Styela clava: one gene and its partners. The protein of the gene in region 2 purifies or fractionates together with the protein of the main gene of each other region. This does not show direct contact. Links are inferred from orthologs where the notes say so. Each region holds a gene or a part of one and is shown on either strand. Other genes may lie near its edges.

Evidence for each region.
Region 1: the proteins of UBX domain-containing protein 7-like (region 2) and kelch domain-containing protein 3-like purify together in Homo sapiens (affinity purification with mass spectrometry; 3 studies listed by BioGRID and IntAct, with this or other methods). This does not show direct contact. The link is inferred for Styela clava from reciprocal best matches to the Homo sapiens genes UBXN7 and KLHDC3.
Region 3: the proteins of UBX domain-containing protein 7-like (region 2) and nuclear protein localization protein 4 homolog purify together in Homo sapiens (affinity purification with mass spectrometry; 3 studies listed by BioGRID and IntAct, with this or other methods). This does not show direct contact. The link is inferred for Styela clava from reciprocal best matches to the Homo sapiens genes UBXN7 and NPLOC4.

Annotation. Positions count from the first base shown.
Region 1 is NC_135255.1:9,937,149-9,944,977, forward strand, and holds the start of kelch domain-containing protein 3-like, read right to left. Parts: upstream 3,058-7,829; 5' UTR 2,925-3,057; coding exon 2,750-2,924; intron 1,430-2,749; coding exon 1,366-1,429; intron 1-1,365. UniProt on the Homo sapiens protein: Substrate-recognition component of a Cul2-RING (CRL2) E3 ubiquitin-protein ligase complex of the DesCEND (destruction via C-end degrons) pathway, which recognizes a C-degron located at the extreme C terminus of target proteins, leading to their ubiquitination and degradation.
Region 2 is NC_135258.1:3,868,990-3,876,799, reverse strand, and holds the start of UBX domain-containing protein 7-like, read right to left. Parts: upstream 3,105-7,810; 5' UTR 2,838-3,104; coding exon 2,792-2,837; intron 2,201-2,791; coding exon 2,099-2,200; intron 1-2,098. Other genes in the region: centrosomal protein of 63 kDa-like, read right to left, coding at 5,396-5,515, 6,127-6,474, 7,200-7,284. UniProt on the Homo sapiens protein: Ubiquitin-binding adapter that links a subset of NEDD8-associated cullin ring ligases (CRLs) to the segregase VCP/p97, to regulate turnover of their ubiquitination substrates.
Region 3 is NC_135262.1:3,005,473-3,013,068, reverse strand, and holds the start of nuclear protein localization protein 4 homolog, read right to left. Parts: upstream 3,014-7,596; 5' UTR 2,963-3,013; coding exon 2,400-2,962; intron 1,617-2,399; coding exon 1,448-1,616; intron 398-1,447; coding exon 211-397; intron 1-210. UniProt on the Homo sapiens protein: The ternary complex containing UFD1, VCP and NPLOC4 binds ubiquitinated proteins and is necessary for the export of misfolded proteins from the ER to the cytoplasm, where they are degraded by the proteasome.

The DNA of each region.
Region 1 (7,829 bases), on a different chromosome or scaffold from region 2:
TTCGGTGTTGAGATTTTCTCGCTCAACGCAGAATAGGTAATAGGACTTTTTTAAATCTGTATTGTTTCACAATAAATCAATAATACATAGCGCATACAGCATACGCTTCCTCCACCATGCACTGCACGTTTCGTTTTACTGTTTGGAATAACAGCTTCATTTTACTAGCGGTGTAGTGTAGTGTAAGTACAACACCCTTATGTTATAATTTTGGTTTTGTTAAGAACAAAATGTGACAGCTGGGCATCTGATTGAACTGCCGCACGCCAGATAGGACCACCTCCATGTTGCGACTCAACTGGTTCATTTTCATTTCTTGGGTCATTGAATAATAAGGCTACATAACATAAGTAATACACAAATTGGCAAAAGGCAAAGACCTAGCCTGTTGTTATATCATGTTGTGTCTGACATTGTTTAAAGTCGGTTTATCATTTGTGTTGCGCAAGTTCAAAATATCGAACACAGTGACTTGGGCAGCATATTTAACCGGTTTATATTAAAAACAGTATTATATAGCGTGGTTCCCAAAAAACAAGACCATCAATTACTCGATTACTTATACGAAAATGGAGTGAATTATTCAATTTTGTCTAAACTTGAACTTCTGTTTCACTCTTCTTTGAGTATTTCTCCATTTTATTTCTGCAATCGCAGCCTTGAGTTTACCAATCGTTTGAGGATTGTTCTGATACAAATTGTCCTTCGAACTCCCTACATATCAAAATCTGAGAGGTTTCAGTCCGATAATTAAGGTGCCTTACTGGATGTCCCCGCTAACTTCTCTCTCAGGATAGCAAGCGTCTGATTTGATGTATGGGGTGTCGCCTCGTCATGCTTGAACCACTGCTGGTCACCTTTATCAATCTATTAAGTAATGTCCAGATTTTTTTCGGCACAAACACGTAATGTTCTGTATTCACCGTTTGGTTGGAAATTTTGCATTGAGTATATACTATTGAGTATAATCATACGCAAACAGAAGTTCAGGCACAAATAAGATTGAATAATTTTTTTGGAGATAGTAAAGAAATTTTTGATTTCCGTTTTCTAGATAACCCTAAAATTTCCTGAAGCGAAAAGAGCGAGTATTTAGGGCAACGACTGCACTTTTACATATCAAGAGAGATAAAGTTGCTTTGACTTTTTTGTTAGGGGGGCGTTTGCTAGTTAAAAAGTCATCCAAGGTGGCAGAAAAAGTTTGGGAAACAGTGTTTTAGATAAAACCACAAAAATTGATGGATCCTTCAAGTTAATTTTCTGAAATTCCACCAACTCTCAGGCAAAAGTATTATCATAATTCTAAAATCATAGATATCATATGATTAAATTCGTCCCGAAATAAAGAAATGCCGATAAAAGTACCTCATGTATGGAACATTTTCAAAATATTCGTTCCTTTGCTGTATTCTTCTCCATCTTAAGAATTCTAAAAATAAATGTCATAAATATATTTGCATACATGAGAGAGTGGTGACCTGCAGTCTAAAAAACTATGACTAATGTTGAAATTTTATTACAAATATACCGGTCTTACTACTTACTGAATACAGCGCGAAACACCGCAAAGAGCGCAAAACAGAGGGAAACAGCGCAAAACAGTGGGGAAACAGCGCGAAAGAGCGCAAAACAGAGGGAAACAGTGTGAAGCGGACAATTTTTTTGCAATGAGTTCGGAGCACCTTGTTTTGAGTTGGAGTACCACGGCAGCAAATTAAAAACACAAACCAACTTATGTAGCCAGTAATGCTGTAATGGCAGGTCTGCCCCTGCTGGTGACACATTTTGGGTACCATAATTTAGAACATTTTCCATATGGATATGGTTGGCTTTAGGGTTAGGGTTAGGTAAAAAGGGACCTCCAGAAGTATGTGCACCAAGGTGGCGCACAACCTGAAAATAGTATGTGTGTGTGTGTGTGTAGCGGATTCAGGTTGTGCGACATATTGCTGCACATACTTCTGGAGCACCAAAAAGGTAGATAAAATTTCGCATGATGACCTATAATCCGGTTCATAGCCTTGTAAATATACCGGAAATAGCGCCATAAAACCATGGCGAGAGGCGCCGTGGTTCTTTCGTGGCAGGAGGTGGTAATGACTGCGTCCCCTGTTTTGCGCTGTTTCCCTCTGTTTTGCGCTGTTTCGCGCTCTTTGCAGTGTTTCGGGCTGTATTCAGTAAGTAGTAAGACCCCAAATATACATCGAAACATGAGGCCAAGAGCCTTTGATATGCATATTATTTTGTGGCTACAATTGCCTGAATTCTCAAGTTGTTAGAGTTAACAGTTATTAGAGGCTTTATTAACAGGCATTTAAGTCAGTAAGTTGTCTATATATCTGTATATTTCTGCATCGGGTTATAAGCCACTCATGATAGGTAATATATGGTGTTCGGGCATTTTTGTTAACACAATAACAAATGGAGCATTTTTATCAACACAGTGAAGCAAACGATACCTAGCATGCACTAAAATTACGTTATAGGTGTGAAATATTCTGTTATTATTCAACATTTACAACCTACAGACCTAGGCAGCATGGTCATCCCAATAATTTAAGGATGGTGAGCTGCCTGTCCAGTGTATATTGCTCAGATAAAAACACCCAACAAATACCATACTTGTAGATACTAAAATTGTCATCATTAAATCAGTAAATGAAATAAAATACCACTGGTACAGCATTACCTGATTATTACTGTATTAACATTTAGTAAATTTATGCTAAACAGACACAGGTAGACTCACCCGTATTAAAGGCATAAATATCGATGGCAGTCCAGTCAGTATCATCATCATCAGTATTGTAATCTTCTCCAGAACAAAATCCACCAAACATATATATATCTTTATTGATAATTACTGCCGAGTGGTTAACTCGTTGAGGTCCACCCTCAATCGAATATGTCCAAAAAGGGTGCATATCATCAGTATCTTTGAATCATTGCTGAATCTGTGAATTGTCAGATCATATACAAGTAGATGTACAAACATGCATGTCATGCATATATCAGTATATTAGATACTTGGCCCTACAGCCACCTAGGTAAAGCTAGCGGACAGTTACCTATTTTTCCGAATTTGAACCCGCCATGTTCCACGAATTGATCGCAAATAAAGTGGACAGTTGTCGCAAATTCACTTAATTGCGGCTACATGGATGCAAAAAATGAGGCGATTCGCCCTTTTAGAAACTAACGACAGAACTGAAACATTTTTTTTCGGTGAAATGAATTATTGCTCAGAAGCTCATTTATCGACAAAATCTAAAATTTAACTGAGTTGAAGCGTAATTTATGCAAGAAATTATTTTTTTTCATTCAATTCATTAATGCAGTGTGTTTGGTGAACAAATATATTAATATACAAAACATATTAAAATTAAAAAAAAATCCACCGTTTGGAAAGTAGGGAAATTCCCCCCAATCGAAGAAAAAAATATAAGAAATCGTCAATTTGACTCAGTTAAAGCGTAATTTAGGTTAGAATGAATTTTTTCTCATCCAATTCATTAATGCAGTGTGTTTGGTGGACAAATATAAAATACATATTAAAATTTTAGAAAAATCCACCCTGCGGAAAGTAGGGAAATTCCCCCCAATTGAAGAAAAAAATATAAGAAATTGTCAATTTAACTCAGTTAAAGCGTAATTTAGGTAAGAAGGAATTTTTTTTCATCCAATTCATTAATGCAGTGTGTTTGGTGGACAAATATACAATACAAATTAAAATTTTAAAAAAATCCACCGTGCGGAAAGTAGGGAAATTCCCCCCAATTAAAGAAAAAAATATAAAAAATCGTCAATTAGACTCAGTTAAAGCGTAATTTAGGTAAAAGGAATTTTTTCTCATTCAATTCATTAATGCAGTGTGTTCGGTGGACAAATATAAAATACATATCAAAGTTTAAAAAAAATCCACCGTGCGGAAAGTAGGGAAATTCCCCCCAATTGAAGAAAAAATATAAGAAATCGTCAATTTTACTCAGTTAAAGCGTAATTTAGGTAAGAAGGAATTTTTTCTCATCCAATTCATTAATGCAGTGGGTTTGGTGAACAAATATACAAAACATATTAAAATTTGAAAAAATCCACCATGCGGAAAATAGGGAAATTCCCCCCAATTGAAGAAAAAAATATGAGAAATCGTCAATTTGACTCAGTTAAAGCGTAATCTAGGTAAGAAGAAATTTTTCCTCATCCAATCCATTAATGCAGTGTGTTCGATGGACAAATATAAATTACATATTAAAATCCATCATGAATTGACCTTCGTCTTCCTCATCTCCAATGTCGGCGAAATTCCAAATTAAAGTCTTCGGTTCCTAATATGAAATTTAAGTACCGGTAATCCCATGTCACCAGTGATGTGATGCTCCGGTAATAACAAACATAGTGGTTTAGGTTTATATGAATGTAACCTTTGCTTATTTTTGTCATCCCAAGGTAATGTACTCCTCCTCTTATCTTTTTTTTCATTTAATTTAAGACACCCAGGGCGTCATAATGTATAAATGGTACTTCCGCCTATAATATCAAAATAATCGAGATGTTTCACAATTATTCAGTCTGATATATGATTTTTGGTGACAATAAGATCTAGAAAAAATCGAGATGATAGAAGTTCAATAATAATAAAGTTTAGTCCATCTGAAAGTTAAATGGAAATTCAACAAAGATTTGAAAATATCTGTAATAATAATATCAATACCATTTCGTTTGATATTTCAATTGAAGAATTGAAGACATCTTCTTGCAGAATATACTTAAGAAGTACGAATTCGCTCTGTAAGGCTAGGTTAAGAGAACTCGAATAGAAAAACATGATCATGTGATGATATATAAACAGCGCCCCCCTCAGTTTTGATTGTACAATCATGCTGCCCAACACGCGCGTGGCAAACACCGACGTTCTCTGATCTATAGCCTGCAAATACTTGAATAATGTTGATGACAGATTAGGTAACATGGAGATTTATCTCGGGAACGGAAAGCCGATAAGGCAGCTTAATCATACGGCGAACCAAAACAAATTAAGGGATATACATATTATTAATGAATTGGATAAGTAAATATTTTTTCTTACCTAACTTACACTTTAACTGAGTTAAATTGACGATTTCGTATATTTTTTCCTTAAATTGGGGGGAATTTCTCTACTTTCCGCACGGTGGAATTTTTTTTTAATTTTAATATGTATTTTATATTTGTCCACCACATACACTGTATCAATGAATTGAATGAGAAAATATTCTTTCCTGCATAAATTACGTTTTAACTGAGTTAAATTGACGATTTCTTAAATATTTTCAACAAATTGGGGGGGATTTCCCAACTTTCCGCATGGTGGAATTTTTTTTAAATTTAATATGTGTTTTATATATCCCCACCAAACACACTGCATTAATGAATTGGATGAGAAAATATTCTTTCCTGCATAAATTACGTTTTAACTGAGTTGAATTGCCGATTTCTTAAAAATTTTCGTTAAATTGTGGGGTATTTCCCAACTTTCCGCATAGTGGAATTTTTTTAAAATTCAATATGTGTTTTATATGTCTCCATCAAAAATAACTGTGTTGATGAATTGGATGAGAAAAAATTCCATCTTACCTAAATTACGCTTTACCTGAGTTAAATTGACGATTTCTTATATTTTTTTCTTTAATTGGGGGGAATTTCCCTACTTTCCGCACGGTGGATTTTTTTAAAATTTTGATATGTATTTTATATTTGTCCACCACATACAGTGTATCAATGAATTGGATGAGAAATATTCTTTCCTGCATAAATTACGCTTTAACTAAGTTAAATAGACGATTTCTTAAATATTTTCATCAAATTGGGGGGAATTTCCCTTACTTTCCGCACGGTGGATTTTTTTTTAAATTTACTATGTGTTTTATATATTTTCACCAAATATACTGTATCAATGAATTGGATCAGAAAAAATTCCTTCTTATCTAAATTACGCTTTAACTGAGTTAAATTGACGATTTCTTATATTTTTTTCTTCAATTGGGGGGAATTTCCCTACTTTCCGCACGGTGGATTTTTTTTAAATTTTGATATGTATTTTATATTTGTCCACCAAACACACTGCATTAATGAATTGAATGAGAAAAAATTCCTTCTTACCTAAATTACGCTTTAACTGAGTTAAATTGACGATTTCTTATATTTTTTCTTTAATTGGGGGGAATTTCCCTACTTTCCGCACGGTGGATTTTTTTTAAATTTCAATATGTATTTTATATTTGTCCACCAAACACACTGTATTAATGAATTGGATGAGAAAATATATTTATTCCTGCATAAATTACGTTTTAACTGAGTTGAATAGACGATTTCTTAAAAATTTTCCTTAAATTGGGGGGTATTTCCCAACTTTCCGCATGGTGGAATTTTTTTTAAATTCAATATGTGTTTTATATATCTCCATCAAATACACTGTATTGATGAATTAGATGAGAAAAAATTATTTCTTGCATAAATTTCGCTTCAACTCAGTTAAATTTTAGATTTTGTAGAGAAATGAGCTTCTGAGCAATAAATCATTTTACCGAGATAAAATGTGTTGTTTTAATCATTTTTATTTTAATATGTTTCAGGTCTGTCGTTAGTTTCTAAAAGGGCGAATCGCCTCATTTTTTGCATCCATGTAGCCGCAATAGACCTTATTCAATAAAAACCCATCCTACGCGCAAAAAAAAAAGTGATGTAAAAAAATATTTTTTAACATTAGCTCTCATGGGGAATGTATTCACCAGAGCAGAAATTTGCATTTTATGTATTTTTCTAGATATCTTTCATTGTATACGTGAGCAGTTTTGAGGATAGAATATTTTTTACGTCTTTTTTGATATTCTTATTATGATAAACATGGTCAAGATTTTTAATAATCGCTCATTGAAATTTTAATGAGCGCGGTTTTTCCGAAGACGTCATTCTCACTAGACCATGAGATTCTGCCAACGCGCCGTGCTCTGTGGGATATGTGCTCCAACTGCATGTGATAACAGATACTGGAATACCGGTACCGGGACCACAACTGGCGTTCAACGAAAGACCTATTTTGGTTTTAATTGGATGTTATATATTTCATGAATTCCATGTACATTTCTGGTACACCTTTCAAAATCCAATGGCCTAACTCAGTTCATATGTTGACGGTACCTACCATGTATGGTACCTATCCCAAAATTGGTGATGTTCAGGGCTGGATTTAGACCATGAGAGGCCCCTTCATATTTTTGAGCTCAGAATTTCTCTCTAAACAAAACCACATTTAATTGCTTAAAATTTAAAAATATGAAAGCATTAAACTTTTCATTCTCCCCATTCATGGGTGTGAATTTTTGATTAAAAGAATGATAATTTACTTGAGGCAGTTTTGCTTTCAATTTTTTGTCATACTTTAACATAGAAACTTCCAGCAGAATGCGCATAATAATAATTTCCCTTATTATGATGCAAACGACGCAATAATGGCTGTTTACAATGTGGTTGAAACTTGTTGTACACAGAATTTTCTACTCTGAAAAGCTTGATATATATATATACTTTTTGTAGGGTTTAAACTTGTCAAGTTTTCAAAAGAATTACAAAGTTTGAAACCGAATTTCGAGGCTCTAGGTTTCAGCCTGCCTAGCCTATTGGTAAATCCAGCACTGGCGATGGTCCCTACAGCAAATTTCGGGCCCTAATCACTCAGCAGATTGAAATAAATGGTTTTCAGCATTTATTAGCAAAGATAGATATTTTAATTAAACTTATAGTTCAACTTAAAGCCTGTATAATGATATTATAAATATATGTCCCATTATTAC
Region 2 (7,810 bases):
AATCAAGTTTGAAAAATCCCAAGATTGCAAAAATACGATTCCAATTCATTTATAGTTTATCACGTATTTTATGTTATTTTAGAATAGTAATTTTTTATTTAAGTAATCCTCATAGTAATCTTGAATCAAACATGAGTAACGATGAACACAATTAAATTATTATGACAGGACATTTTAAATGCTCGCATCAGTCATGGATTGAATATTTCACGCAACAGAAATCTCGTTATCCACTGAAAAAGTTTTTTTCTTAAGCGCGAAGAATGTTGCGCGAACAATTCCGATTCCAACTTTGATCCCCCCTCCCTCTTAAGAATCCTGGCTGCGCACGTGCTTATAAATATTGTCATTTTTGAATTCCGCCTCTTTGCCATATTTCGAGGCTATACTGTTGTCAAATTTTATCAAAGCTGTTATTGCTTCTTTGAAAAGTCACAAAATTAGCCAAGTCAGTCCTTTGAAAAGTAATCAAATAGCTCGCGGAGCCCCTAGGCTTCTCTCTCGGAGCCCTGGGGCTCCGTACGGAGCACTTTGAGAACCTATGCCATAGGCGATGCTTAGACAGGGGCGCAAAAACAGCGAAAAGTTCTGATCGTATAGGTTTCAATAAATTATTTCAAATTGGAGACAACTAAATCTCGCATTTATACTTGAATAATAACGCACAGGTATAGCATTTCAATAACAGTCATTATAAATCGTTAACCAACTATCAAGGGGGCGCATTTTTCAACTTTGCCATGGGCGCAATTTTACGTAGATACGCCACTGACCGAATGGGCATCGTTTGGGTATGGCACTCGATATGTACGATACCGTCATGCTCAACATGACACTCCTTCAGGGATTTCCAACCAGCGGCCCGGGGCCCTCAAGAGGGCCATAGAGCAGTTGAAGGAGGCCACAATGCTAGGTTCATAACTTATTTTACCATTCACTTTACAACAGGGGTCTCAGACTCAATTTACTTGAGGGCCGCCGAGACGGAGCCTCAGTGAGTCCGGGGCCGCATCAGTTTTTTCACAATAAAAGCATTAAACTTAAAAAGTTAAATCTTTTCCTCTGTTTTTCTATACGCAAACATGTCAAAAACATAAATGTAAGTAATTCCGCGATGGACCTTTCCCCAAGCATCTACTTCCTTGTTTATTCCGTAACATTGGCTAATCAGCAAGACGCAAAAGCGACGTAACAATAAACAATAGACGCTCAGACACTTTCAGGCATGTTTGAAACATTACCTCGTTTTTGCATGCTATTTGTTAGTTTTGGCTTGTGTTTCAGAAATTCAAGTATGAATCAAAGAACTCAATGATCATTCTGATTGCTTGGGCGTCGTAGCTTAATTGCCGTAATCAAAAATAGGTCTAGAAATAACTGTGATAGACTAGGCTAAACTTCTCTACCGGTACTGTTAAAAAACAAGTTGTTGAATGTTTTGAATCAAAATGATGACGTGAAACATACCCCAGTTTATAGGCTTCAACTCGCAAAGCCACCTCTAAAATAAGCACCAAGAATTAGCAATGGTAAAGTATAAGAAAAATCTTCTTTGGGGTCAAAGGTCCATCGAATACCCTAGTGTACTAGTAGATTACCGTGCCGCATATTCCTTTCGGGGGATAGATTATAAAATATTTTGTTTTGCTCTACTTGTCTTGATCATATATTAAATGCATCAATCATTCTAACTGAGGTGAGTGACTTACGGGCCGCACTAACATCAAACTTTCATACCAAGGCGGGGGCCGCAAATTATCGTCCTGCGGGCCGCAATTGGCCCACGGGCCGCGAGTTTGAGACCCCTGCTTTACAATAAAACCACCCGTTCTTCCTAGTTTCATTGCTTGATAAAGTTATTTCACAGGATGTACTCACTTTGTTGAATTGTTTGAGCATAAGTAGATTTGGAATCTACCAATCAAAATATTGCTAAAAATACCATTGGAATAATAAATAAGGGGGCCATGAGTGCTGAAAGCCTCTAGAAGAGAGTCACGAGCCATAAAAGATTGGGAACCACGCTACTAAATATTAAACTCATAGACAAGAAAGTGTTTGTGCTGCATCAAACAATATAGAAATCGACAAATTTTACCTGTTGTGCCTGGAGTCTTATCATCCAAGAACATGGCGACTGCAGTTTCAAGATTGTCCGAGCAAGCATCGAGAAAATGTTTCGCTGTTCCTTTGTCTGTGCCTGTAAAAAAAGAAAATTTTGAGCGCTAATAGTTAGTACAGACAGTGAAGCTAACCATGTTAGCATGGCCCATATCCACCAGTTGACCCAAGCAGTAGAACGCCACCAGGCATCAAATCGTACCAAGCTTGTCTCGGTAATAATTTAAATCAATCGCAAAGTGCGCTGGCCGTCACATGACCAAATTGCGATTTTTGTTGAAAACTACTACTGTAAAATTTTAATTCCTTCTGTAAATTTTATTATTTTTTTTCTCCGAGAAATCCATTCTGTCAATGGCAGGATGGCGACGTTTTTAGATTGCACCTCCTTTCAGTTTATTGCGCAATGCCGACTTGTCGTTTTTAGTCGATATACTGATATAATGGCTCGTTAAATAGGTAGAGGTTCGCACTCACTGTCATAATTGATATATTTTAATGTGGGGGCTATTCTTGAAATCAGAGCACATAGTTAGTGCTGCAGTATGTTCGCCTGTCTTCTTCCATTCTTCTTACAGTGTTATCGGCTATTCCCATCAAAATAAATACGATAACGTTATGTAAAAATGTGCCTAGTCGGCCCAAAGAAGAATACCAAATACAACCGTACCTGTAATGCTCACAAATTCTTTGATTAATTTTTCTCTAGATCCCATATTGCAGTATTGCAAGATTGAGAAGAGACAGCTGTTTTTTAAATCGAAACCGTTGCTTCAATATGTAGCCTAAGTATTCAGTAAATTTCCACTTTCTGTGCTCTTGAAAATCGTTCATATATTTTATTATTCAATGTCTCTCTTCCGTGACTTATGTTACATAACTCTTTATATAACGCTCAGAAAAAACGAAGAAAACCCGCAAAAAATTACAAAACTACGGAGGGATTTTCTCCAAATTATGTAAGGTGGTTCCAGTCTAATAAGCCGGTAATCAAAACATCCGTTAGGTGTCGGTAGAGTTTTCATTTCTACAATCAAAGTCGACACCTTTCCTCGAGCATCGACTTCCTTGTTTACTTCGTGACATTGGCCAATCAGTAAAATGCAAAAAGTGAAGTAACAATGCCTTCTTTTCGCATCCACTCAGACACTTTTTTCACTCAGACAGATTTTCAAGCGAGGTTGTGAACATTACATCGTTTTCGCTTTTTTGAACTTTATTCATTAGTTTTTAGTTGTGTTTTGGAAACTTAAATATAAATCAGATAATTCAATGATCACTCTGTCTTTCTAGGAGTTTTAATTTAATTGCTGTAAGAAAAATTAGTGTAGATATAGCTGTGATAGATTAGCCTGAAATTCTTTACCGGTACCTTTAAAAAACAGATTGTTGTATGCAATAAATCACAATGATGGTTTGAAACATATACCCCATTTTACAGACGCCAACTTGCAAAAGCACTCTTAAAATAGCCCCGATAATTTTGTAATGGTAAAGTATGGGAAGAATTTTCCAGGGGTTAAAGGTCGGGGAAAGGACCATTGCATTAAAATCAAGAAATAAATTAATTCTAATTGATTCATCATTGTTTTTTCGGACACTATGCAAGACTGATAAAATCACAGATGCTCTGGCCCATACATGACGAAAATAAATATCGGAATCCATACGACACGACGCCTAGCGCATCGTGCTGAGTGTTAAGAACGCGCTCGCAAACAACCATGGAACGACTCTTTTTCTAACCGCCCTATGATGATGAGAAAATGGAACAACACTTTCACTAACCACCCTATGATGATGATGAGGAGTCCAACTATCCTCTCACGCATAATTGGTCCTCACAGGATTCAAACACACGCCGGGTAATTAAAGGCGCGATGATATCTTCTCATCTCTCTCTTGGCCCGATGCGCCAATCACTGAGCTTATAATCCGGAATAAATCACCAGTCTTTTCAATATATCCTACTTTCTACATTCATGAAATAATCACTCATAACAAATTATCAGATCACCCAGACAGGTATGCAAGATTACAGACATTTGCCGTTTTCGGGTCAGGAAATCATCCATACAATTTGGAAGCTATAAGAGCACCATGTTAATAACCGTATAGATGGGTCTTCCCCCTAACTAACTATTGGCAACCATAATAAGAATCTACCAAGTACTAAAATCCGTTCGCTGAAATTTTGGCGCTCCCGAAGTATGTGCACCAAGATGGCGCACAACCTGAACTCTAACCCAATACACATACTATGTTCAGGCTGTGCGCCATCTTGGTGCACATACTTCGGGAGCTCCGAAATTTTATCCTCTGAGCTGGATCTAAATACCTTCACCTGACTAACAGAAAAACAAAAACTGGCATCCATAAATAAAGATATTTATCTCAAAATAGAAAAATATAGAAGCCAGTAAATAGGTTTTTGAAATCATAGCAACAAAAGCATAATAAATCTTCAAGTTCAAAAACATGGAAGCAGCTTAAATAGACAAAAAGTAACTTCAGAACCTCTCTCAGTCTCTTCACACATTTCCTCCCAAAAATTACTAACAGAAATTATGGAAAAATATTTTTTCGTAAAGCGTTCTTATGAATGAATGGATAGAAGAGGTGATAAACCAATGCCTGAAGTGAGCATTACCAAATGCACGCTGTGATATATTGAGATATTAAGTATTGCAGTATTATAGAACATTTAAAGTTTTTGTGCGCATTAAAAGTTGAGCCTCCCATATTGGAAACCTACTGTAATACCAAGGGCTACCAACACTTAGTTGTGTTGGCATGATTCCCAATCTTAGGCAAAATCCCATGAAGGGATGTATTATAGGGTGTCCATGAGTTCCTAAAAAATTTTTAAATCCTAAAGGGAGTTTATCGATACCATATATTGTTTTGGCCCTCACAGATGTATTAAATGAAGTAAAAATACCTAAACAACTACTAATTTAAAAAACAACAAACCTGGTTAATTAAGATATTTTGAGAACTGACATTATACCAACATTGTGATGAGACTTTATGGACACCCTGTACATTAGGTATGCCAGCGAAGTCATTTTCTTATTTTTCAATATTTTTTATATTTATATTGTGAAAACGAATTTGTCAGGAGCGCCGATGACCTTTGAAGGTCAAGCAAGCTCAAGCAGCCACTAAAATCTGATAAATTTTGAGAATTTACTAATTTCAATATTGTTTTATACTATTTTTCAATGTTGAAAGTGCTTGTGGAAACAACATCTCTCTCTCTCTCTCTCTCAATTTAAACCGGAGCTAGGTATTTGTTCACTGTGGCTGCCATCGCCTCTTTCATATTTTCAATGTGTTTATCAATTCTTGATTCCAATTCTTTGGATCGCAGTTCTTCATCTTTCAGGAAATCCTAGAAGAGCAATTAAGGTAAAAGCTGATTAAAACTATTAACTATAAATATTACGAGGAGAAAGTCTCGTGCGGTTAGGCCCGTAACAGCTTCCTCCGTCAAGTCCATAGATCTGAAACAAACATCTATCCGACACGGATTGGTAATGGCCCTAATGGGACGAGGGGCTTTGGTTGACCATCGCATAGGATTCCCTTTCCCCCAAATCAAATTTGAAAAATCCTATACTCCTAAACAATGTTCCCTCTAATTTTTTGTAGTATGTGTGCGCAGAAATTTTAGTGTGCGCACTTTTTTGGAAATGACTAATATTTGTGCAAAAACCAATGAAGAAATTTTGGCGTTCTAACCGGGTAATAAGTGGGCCAACAACAAACTTTCTCAACCTGCCAACCGAGCACATTGTTACATTACATCGAAATATGCCTGTGCGCAGTAAATCTATGCGTGTGCGCAGCCTCTGAAAGCTGTGTGCGCGCGCACACCTTAGAGGGAACACTGCTCCTAAAATTCTGTTTCTTATGAACAACAATTGGTTGCTATCAAATCTTTCATGAGCTATCTATTTCCAATATAAGGTTTATCAAAGCAAGATTGTTTGAAAAAAATACCTGTAAACCGTCATTTTTGGACATTTTATTATTGTTGCCAATATCTTCTTGCTGTAGACCAAGTATCGCATTCAATTCTCTTTCATCAATACTATCGTCCATATGAGTTGAAAAAATTGAATTATTCGGCGACGTTTCGGTTACTGTAGAAGGAGCAATTCCAATTGATTTTAAGAATTGTCGTGTAGGGGTCGGAGTTCGTGACCTCAGTGACCCTACTTCTTCCAAGAAGTCTTTCACAGCTTCACTGTTGCTAGATTTTGAAGATGAAACTGATGGTGGAACGACTGTGCTAGGTTGACTTGTGCCGTTAGATGTTGCAGAAATCTTGATTTGAAGACTGGGTATCTAAAAAGATGAATAAAATGGTTTTAGACTTGATATGAGCAAACTACGGCCCACGGGTCAAATCTGTCCTGTTGAGTAATTCAGTTTGGCCTGCCCGATGCTTTAGGAATTTGTTGAGATTGCTATTAAATTGTTTTGGCACGGGGCTTATCGTTTTACACGTTTGCTGTTGTAACTCTGTAAATATTGTTCATAAAATGTAAAATTTTTTACGTCACACTTACACGGCCTGCCAGTCTAGGTGGGCAAAATAATTTTGGCCCCTGGCCCAAACACCTTGCCCACCCATTTTAGACAAAAACTGAATTCATAGGGTCATTTGCTAAATTGTTGTCATTGCGACAAACATTTGGGGCTTTTCCCGTAACCACCGATCATTTCAAAATTTTTAGTAGATAAAAACTACTGCCACTACTGAATTATCGCGAACCTCTGACAAATAAACTTGGATCTGTAAACACAAAGACCGGTAGCACTATAAATGCCGTTTAGCGAATACATACAGTATAAAAAATAAAGAGAAAACGTTGCTGGCATAATTTAGACTTAGAAGTTAACTGTTGCAATAAATCAAAGCTGCTCACGTACCACTTGAAAAGTTCCCGTAGGGGCCACAGGTTGAGAACCACTGCCACAGGGCTCAGAGCGAAAGGAGTGGCATAAATAATCTATACGTGCTAAGATTGAGATTCTGTTCTGTTGCCACTCTTAACCAATATACTTACATTATCATCAGCAGGGTCACTCAGAACTCCATCAGTTACCACAGAATGATTCTTGCCAGAAGTTTTTGATGACATCTCTTGCAGCCTGTAAAAGAGAGAACTTCATTAAAACAAGATAGAAAGAGAAGAGATAGAATAGAAGCACATTCACTTTGAACTAGGCTCTGTACAAGCAACCACTGATCCGCAGAGATGTGCAGTTGGAATTTGGCATGTTTTAATTGTCTAAGTTGTATTTTGGAATTATCTGTGACAGGAGCCGGAATTTCATCCTTTTTATTTAAAGTTAATATTTCTGGCGGAAATCAGAAAGCATTATTTGTTTTATTTGCTTTTTTAACTGACAACAACAAGGTCGTCCCAAGGGTGGAAATCTTATTTTTAAAAGACTTGGCATAGGAGATTGGCAAAATCTGATTCTATTGCAAAGTTTGTGAATTTATATCAAATTTTCAAACATAGAATGTAAAGTCTCAATCATCCGTTCATATCTTCGTAGAATTTCTTGATTCAAACGGAAAGATTTGGTTCTTTCGAGAAATAGTACCACTTCACATATCATTACGTATGAGCAGATGCTTGTTTGGGTCAAAATTCTTGAATAAGAGTCA
Region 3 (7,596 bases), on a different chromosome or scaffold from region 2:
TGTCAGTCGTGCTTCATAAACAAAATCATAGCGAAGTATAAAATATCAGTAAAATATGTACAAGTCTGGCCAGAATAACCCCATATCAACAAAATGGCTTCAACGCTGTCAGTCATGCTCCATAAATTAAGGTTCGATAGTAAGCGCATTAAACGCATAGCACGATGTTGTCATTACCGAGTGAACAAACATAACAGAAGGCAACAATACCTTTAGATCTATCCTCAGCAACCAAGTCTGAAATGATCCAACCAACTTTCTGAAGCCCAAGTGCTTTCGCTACTTTCTCCACAATCTCTTGATGAGGGTCGGGCAGGATCTTCAGCGAGTTAGCCGAGCTTTCCTGTGGTGGCTCATATATTGCACAAACCTCTGCACGAATGCCGAGTGGTACTTCCTAAAATAATAAGAATAGTTCAGAAAAAACAAAACTTGAAAAAAAAAGCTGTTCTGGGAAAATGGGGAATTTTAATTTTTAATAAACTCTTCCAACTTTTAATAAAAATACTTTGTCGTGAACAACACTTAAACTTTGACTAGAAAACCACTTTATAAACCAATTTTTATAATTTTTTTAAAAGTTCCCAAATTCACCCTCTGTCCTGAAAGCCTCAAATTGTATTGTAAAGAATAATCATGATCTGAATAACCCGAAGAAGCAAAACTTGCAAAAGCTCTTTCACACTTCCTGAATAATATGTATATCACTGTCAAAAGCACTCTCAACAATGCATAGTATATTGCAAAGCAAAATTATTATTCAAAGACGAGACTTGAAAAAAAAATGTTTTTTTTAAATTTTTCAATCTTTCTTATTTGCATTATATCAAGTATTCCCATCAGGCTATAAAAGGGCAACATCTAGTTTTGCCATTCTGTCAGTGCCTTTGTGACATGACAAGATTTTGCTCTTGTTCGAGTAAGAGAGGTCGCCAAAATATATCGTGGAAATCAAACTTTCCAGAGCAGTTTTGATTCTTTCATCTTGGATTTTATTTTCCCCTTAATTAGAAAAACCAATTCAGTTTGGAACTTGTATAAACACTTTTGTATATCGTTTATCCTCGCATATGAGCCGAGTTCAAAACTTGACAAAAATGTTGTCAAATTAATGTGTCAGCTGATACGCTCTTACAACTCTGGGATTGGAAAGATGGAGAAGGTGATAGTGGGGATAAATTTTTAGGGATTTTGAGACACTTCTTGCTGTTATTAATAAAAGTTAAACAACAATAATGGTGATTATTTTCATTAATGCTCTTCTGCAACCATTTGATGTGACAGGTGAGTACAGTGAGTTACAATTTGTAGGATTTGCTTATATGCAAATTTTTATGAATTCAACGTTTTAGGTTCGTTTTAAGGGAGTTGGCTGATATGCAAGATCAGCTTATAATATGCGAATTATATATATACGGTAACGAGTATATATTTCTTCATCTTATACCTTATGTTGAGTATATCTTCCATACATGAATCCCATTCTCTGGTTTCCACTATTCCTCCAATAATTCAGGAATCTATCAGCGACTTCTCGATTTTCAAACATAATATTATCAACATGACGAAATTTTTGTTGATTCAGAGTGATTGCCGTTGGAAGGTCGAGGAGAGATCTAAAGAATGAATTCAAAATTGAGATTAGTCTGAAACACAGGTTCTCAACCAATGGAACATGCATGGCCCACTGTTGGACCAAAGACCTATTAAAAATTAGTAGTAATTTATTTGTGTCCCTATAGTTAATTTTGATTGTAGCAGCAATGAATGACAATGCTGTTTTCTGCTACTGAGTGGTAATTTTCATTCTAATTATTAATGTGAAAGTGTCCATTCTTGTGGGAAGATTTAGTATTTCTTGTAGTTTTTCCTTTGCATAAAGAAGTTTTTGGGCCACAGGATTATTGTTAAACAAAAACGGGCCATGATTGAAAATTGTTGAGAACTACTGCTCTAGAATAAATCTAAATGAAATTATTGTTTCAAGAGGCAGCCGTTGTTTACATAAATTTTTTCCGCTAGAATAAACAAACTTGTACATTGCTTTAATTTTGTCAGTAGTTGTATTTAGCTGTTCATTCAATACTTTTCAGAGCAATTTGTCTGCGATGTATTCTCGATATGATACAGACAAATTAATTCAAATATTCTCTCCAAATAAATTTTAAGCAATTTCTATGTCAGTATCAATTTCGAAAATAAACTTTTTCCAAATTGACAATTCTACAAATGGCAGTATCTATAAACTATTTTAAAACTTCAAAATTTGTTACACGAAACGTATTTAACTTAAAATCGTTTAGAATATTCATTTTAGATTTCTCTCGTCACAGATTTGATACGCATACTAATTGGAAGTAACAACCTTAATCAGAGATATAAATCAAAAAATCTCAAACCTTTTTTCTTCGCTAATCCCTTCTAGTTTGCAAGCAGTTCTGGTACTTTCCAGTTTAAAGTATTTCCCTTTGTCCACACCAGAAGTCTGTTGGCGCATGTACGCATGAAACGATAAAAACTTAATATCCTTTGATTTAAGATATGACTCATCCCATGAGTTTATCGGTAGATCATCAATCTTAAACATTCCACCTCTGACAGAACTCTTTTCATTTTGCGGAATCCTACCATCTTGTTTCCATAATTCTACGTCAATTTCGTCCTCTGTAAATTTCACTATGGGCGGGGCTTCGTTTTCAACCACGCCTCCATCTCCAGCTACGTTCATTCCGTCAGTGAAGATAAGATAACACATATCTCCATGTTTCAGTTTTTTGTTACTCAATTTTGACCGTGACCCCTTTTTAAGTTCATTTGTTCGGTCACGATTTTGAAACAAACACCAATTTTCATTTGCAAGAGCAAATTCCTCCGCGACCTTCCCAAGAAATGATGTAACCGTCTCCGAAGATGTTACCTCAACCCGTTTTGTACCATCCTTTGACTGGATTCTAATTATCATTATGGTTTAATTATTTTAATACTATATCTGTAAATTAGCTGCATGGTTAGAAAATTGCATATAAAGCGTAATTACAAGTGGTAAGGGCCTACGAGGTTTGCATAAGCAATATCAACAAATAGAATGTTTCCATAGATCAGTGATTTTGAACCTTTTTGCAGAAACTGGCGAACTTCCAGAGGCTTGAAAAATCCCTGTGCAATAGCTACGGTAAATTGTCTTTTATTGTCAGAACTGTATAGACTATAAATTTGCTTTTGTAAACTTGGTACTGGCAAAGCATAATCTTGAAAGGGTAGCATATTTTCAAAATAGTGGCCAATATTCAAACGAGAATATCGGTCGGAGACCCACCACTTATTGATCGAAAGTTAGGGGATCCCCCAAAACAGAAACTGCGGTTTCGATACCTTCACTATGACTCAATAGTGACACCGCGTGTCCCATCACTAATCAATAACTCGCTAATTATACGATATAATTCATCCTAAATCAATAGGCTTCTGGTTCGAGATATGATGAATGCACATGCAAAATTTGGAGCAGATTCAACCTCGCTTTCGTGAGATATCACGTAACATACGAAAGTGTCTGACAGACAAACAAACAGACAAATACCTATCAACATACTACTGATCAAGATCGATAAGGAATAATTTGCATAAACTTTCTGATTTTAGTAGAAACTTGCGGAACCGCCAGACTGTCTGTATTGGTGGAACTGTAGGGTGTAGCAGGAAAATGTTTGAAAACCACTGTCATAGTATATTATGCGTATGCCTCTCAGGTGAAGCGCAAATACTAAACAGAATTGATAAAAAAAAAATGGAAAACGAGTCTTCTTTGGTATAATTTAGGCCTATTACAGAGTGAGAAGTTTGGACAGAATATTCTTATTCGAAATAAAAGGTTTCATTGCTGCCAGTCATGCTTCATAAATTAAATCATATCAAAGCAGAGTTTATGTAAAAACATCACAGAGAAGAGAAATATTTTAAATATAAGTCTAGCCAGAATTTTCTCATACTAATAAGAGGGTTTCGTTGCTGCCAGTCATGCTTCACAAACTGAATCATACCAAAGCAAGGTCGGCTCACTTAATTAAGTGATTGGGATATTTTAATACTAACGAAAGCGTTTCATTGCCAGTCATGCTACACAAATATTTTTAAGGCAGTAGACTACTCTACTACTTGCATACACAAAAGGATAGTCAGTAAGTGGCATTGTGTGAATCTTTATAGGCTATGTATATAATATATTGGTATTCAACATCCACCATAAATTTTCTTTTCCTACAATGGGCAAATCATTGGTTACCGATAGCCTAATGAACAAACAGTTAATTATATTTTTCTTAAAAATAAAACAATTGTGCAAAATATAAGAAATCATCAAAAAAAAAATAGGATAGGATTTACATATTTATCCTGGGGGAGAGGAAAGCCGATAAGACGGCTTATCCATATGGCGAACCACGGCCTCTCGTCCGGTTACCATTCCAAGTCGGGTATGGGATTAGTTATATTGTTTGTTTTCGGAAGTATGGACTTGGTGGTGGAGGAAGCTGTAACCGACTAGCGGTTACGTGAACCACCCATTGACGGCGAGGAGGCACATAACCGTCCCTGCAAACCCACGCGAAATAATTAGAGATGCGGTGGCGAGCGTATTCCTAACGCTTAGCCCGTTGAGCCTCACCGCCGCGCCAAAAAAGCACCAGTGGTAGAAGGACATCTCACAAGGCTATGGGACTGGAGTAGAGAGTATCGACATAACAGCGAAAGGATTGCTAGACTTTTCAATGCTGTACAGTAATTCACAAAACTGCTGGTCGGTTACGGCTTTCTTCGCCATCAAGTCCATGCATCTGAAACAAATAACTGGGTGACTAATCCCATACAGAGCCAGGCAGTCCCGATAAAACATAACAGGAGATTCTCTTACTAACTAGGCTATACAAATGAATTCTAATCCATGAAGTTAAATCAACCATAATAGCAGTATCCAGAAATCAAGATGTAATATATGTACAGTCATCATTCAAAAAAGAGCAATATTACCACAAACACTTCCCACCTAGAAAATAAGAGTGTTCCCATTACAAGCAATTCTAACCTCACTCACACAAACATGGAAACATAGGAAAAATTCAAATGTCAAAAATTTAATCAAGCTGAATTTTTTAAAGGTACTTATGAGTCTTGTTAAAAACCACATACACTTCCCACCTGGAAAATAAGAGTGTTCACCTTGCGAGCAATTCTAACCATGCTCACACAAACATGAAGACATGGTCAGAAATTTGAATGCCGAGATTTTAATCCATCTGCAATTTGTGACTACTCCTATAAAACCACAAACACTTCCCATCCCAGAAAATATGAGTGTTCCTGTTACTAGCAATTCTAACCACGCTTACACAAGCATGTAAACATGGGCATAAACTTGAATGTCGGTAATTTAATCCAGCTGCATTTTATGAATAATTGTAAGTCTCATTTGTGACCAAGAACATTTTCCACACAGAAAAAAAGAGTGTTCCCATTGTGAGAAAGTTAACCAAGATCCACTTTTCCAATATTATCCAAGTTTCCTTGGTTGAATATATATCATGGAGGAAAAAATCAGGGATTGAAATGAAGGAATTGTAGGTAGGAAAAATACAATGATTTCAAGAACTGGAAATTCAGAAAGTTCACACAGTTTTATTATCACGATATATGAAGTTTGATATAAAAAAATTGCAGAATCATTAAAAACATATAAGATTTTTATTATTTATCTCAGGAGAAAAAAGTCAATAACGAACATAATTATAAGGCAGATATAGAATCTCATGAGGGAAATAGCTGATCAGATAGTCATTCCAGATTCATGGACATGAAAATATAAACGAGCAAAATAAATTTTTATTGTTGGATTGATTTAGAATTGAAATTTGAAAAGTCTAAATGGATTTCGATATAAAAACAATTGCATAATTGGAAAAAACAGTTTTCACTGAACTTTTCATATTTGCACTGGGAAAACAAGAAAATGGATAAAGCGGTTCAACAAGACATAAAAATTGTCCATTTAATATAACTGAAATAAGATATGAAACAAAATATCTAAGAAACAGAAATCTATACGCAATGGTCCCATGGTTATATCGCCATGTGAAAACAAATTAAAAAGGGGAAAGGTGTTGCTGATGATTTGCTATAGGCTCGGCGGTGTGGCGCATCGTGCTAAGCGTTAGGAATACGCTCGCCACCTCATCTCTGATTACCCTTCATGGGTTCGCAGGTTCAAATCTCATGTGGGGATGATCATGTGCGAGAGGATTGCTGGACTCCTCTCCGCCGTAGGGTGGTTCACTTAACCGCTGGTCGGTTACGGCTTCCACCACCATCAAGTCCATGCTTCCAAAAATAAATAACTGGCTAACTAATCCCATACCAGACCTGGACTGGTAACCGGACCAGAGGCCGTGGTTCGCTGCCATATAATTAAGCTGTCTTATCGGCTTTCCTCTCCTCCGGAATAAATATGTAAATCCTATCCTATATCAACTTGATCAAAAAATCATACGAAATTCAATATAACCCCTGAAAAATGAAACCCAGATCCTATGGAACATATACTAGAAAAAATTTTTTTGCAAAGCATTTAGATTTACTAAAACTTTTGGGTATAAAAAAAATTCTGTGTTGAATAACTTTTAATTTCTCACTACACCAGTGGTCACTTGAAAACATTCCACTAAAAATAATCAATTATAATCATATAGGGTCAAAAATGCATTCGCATCTTCGATATTCTTTTCAAATCCCAGACATCATATTTAGCTCAATAATTTGAACATGAATAATCACAGCATAATCTTTAAATAGAACAGTCTTTAACATAATAAGCATATTTAGTTAACTAGAAATTTAAACATTGGCTAAAAAATAGGATCAGAAGTTAACTTAATCAATTTAAATTGAATATAAAAAAGATGAATCCACCTTGAAAGAACAAACAGAAATGGGATTTGAACAAGATGAAATATCATCAAACTGACCAATGCCTCCACTAACATAATTAGGAAAGTCACTTAATACAGTTCCCCATGAATCCCCTACATCATCATAGATATACAACTTTCCTGAAACCAACAACACGAGTCTATTGTCAGCAATGAAACTGAAACTTTTGGAACTGATTGCTGTTGGCAGATTAAGTGTTTTCCATTTTTCACCATCGAAGCGTTGCATTTTATTGAGGAACGGTGAATTATTATTTACCAAGCCTACAACATAAATTTTTTCATTAGAATATGCCACAGAAGTATTCACAGAAGCTTCGGAAACTTTTTTCACGTTTCCCCAACTGTTATTCAATATACTGAAAAGTTTGTACTCGCTAACAATGTTGATTGCGATAAATTGTTTGTTTGATACTCCTGCAAAAAAGGGTTCTTCCAATTCACAACCAGGTAATGTTTCATCCCACTCATTTGTGATCGGATCATAAATAGAAAGCCTGTCCTTTTCAACAACATAGATAAGTTTATTAGTTGCCACAATTCTTGCTTTTTCATCAGGCAAATGCTGCATAGCTTCCCTTTTTATCCATTTCAACCGGTTAGTATTAAAGTACATTAA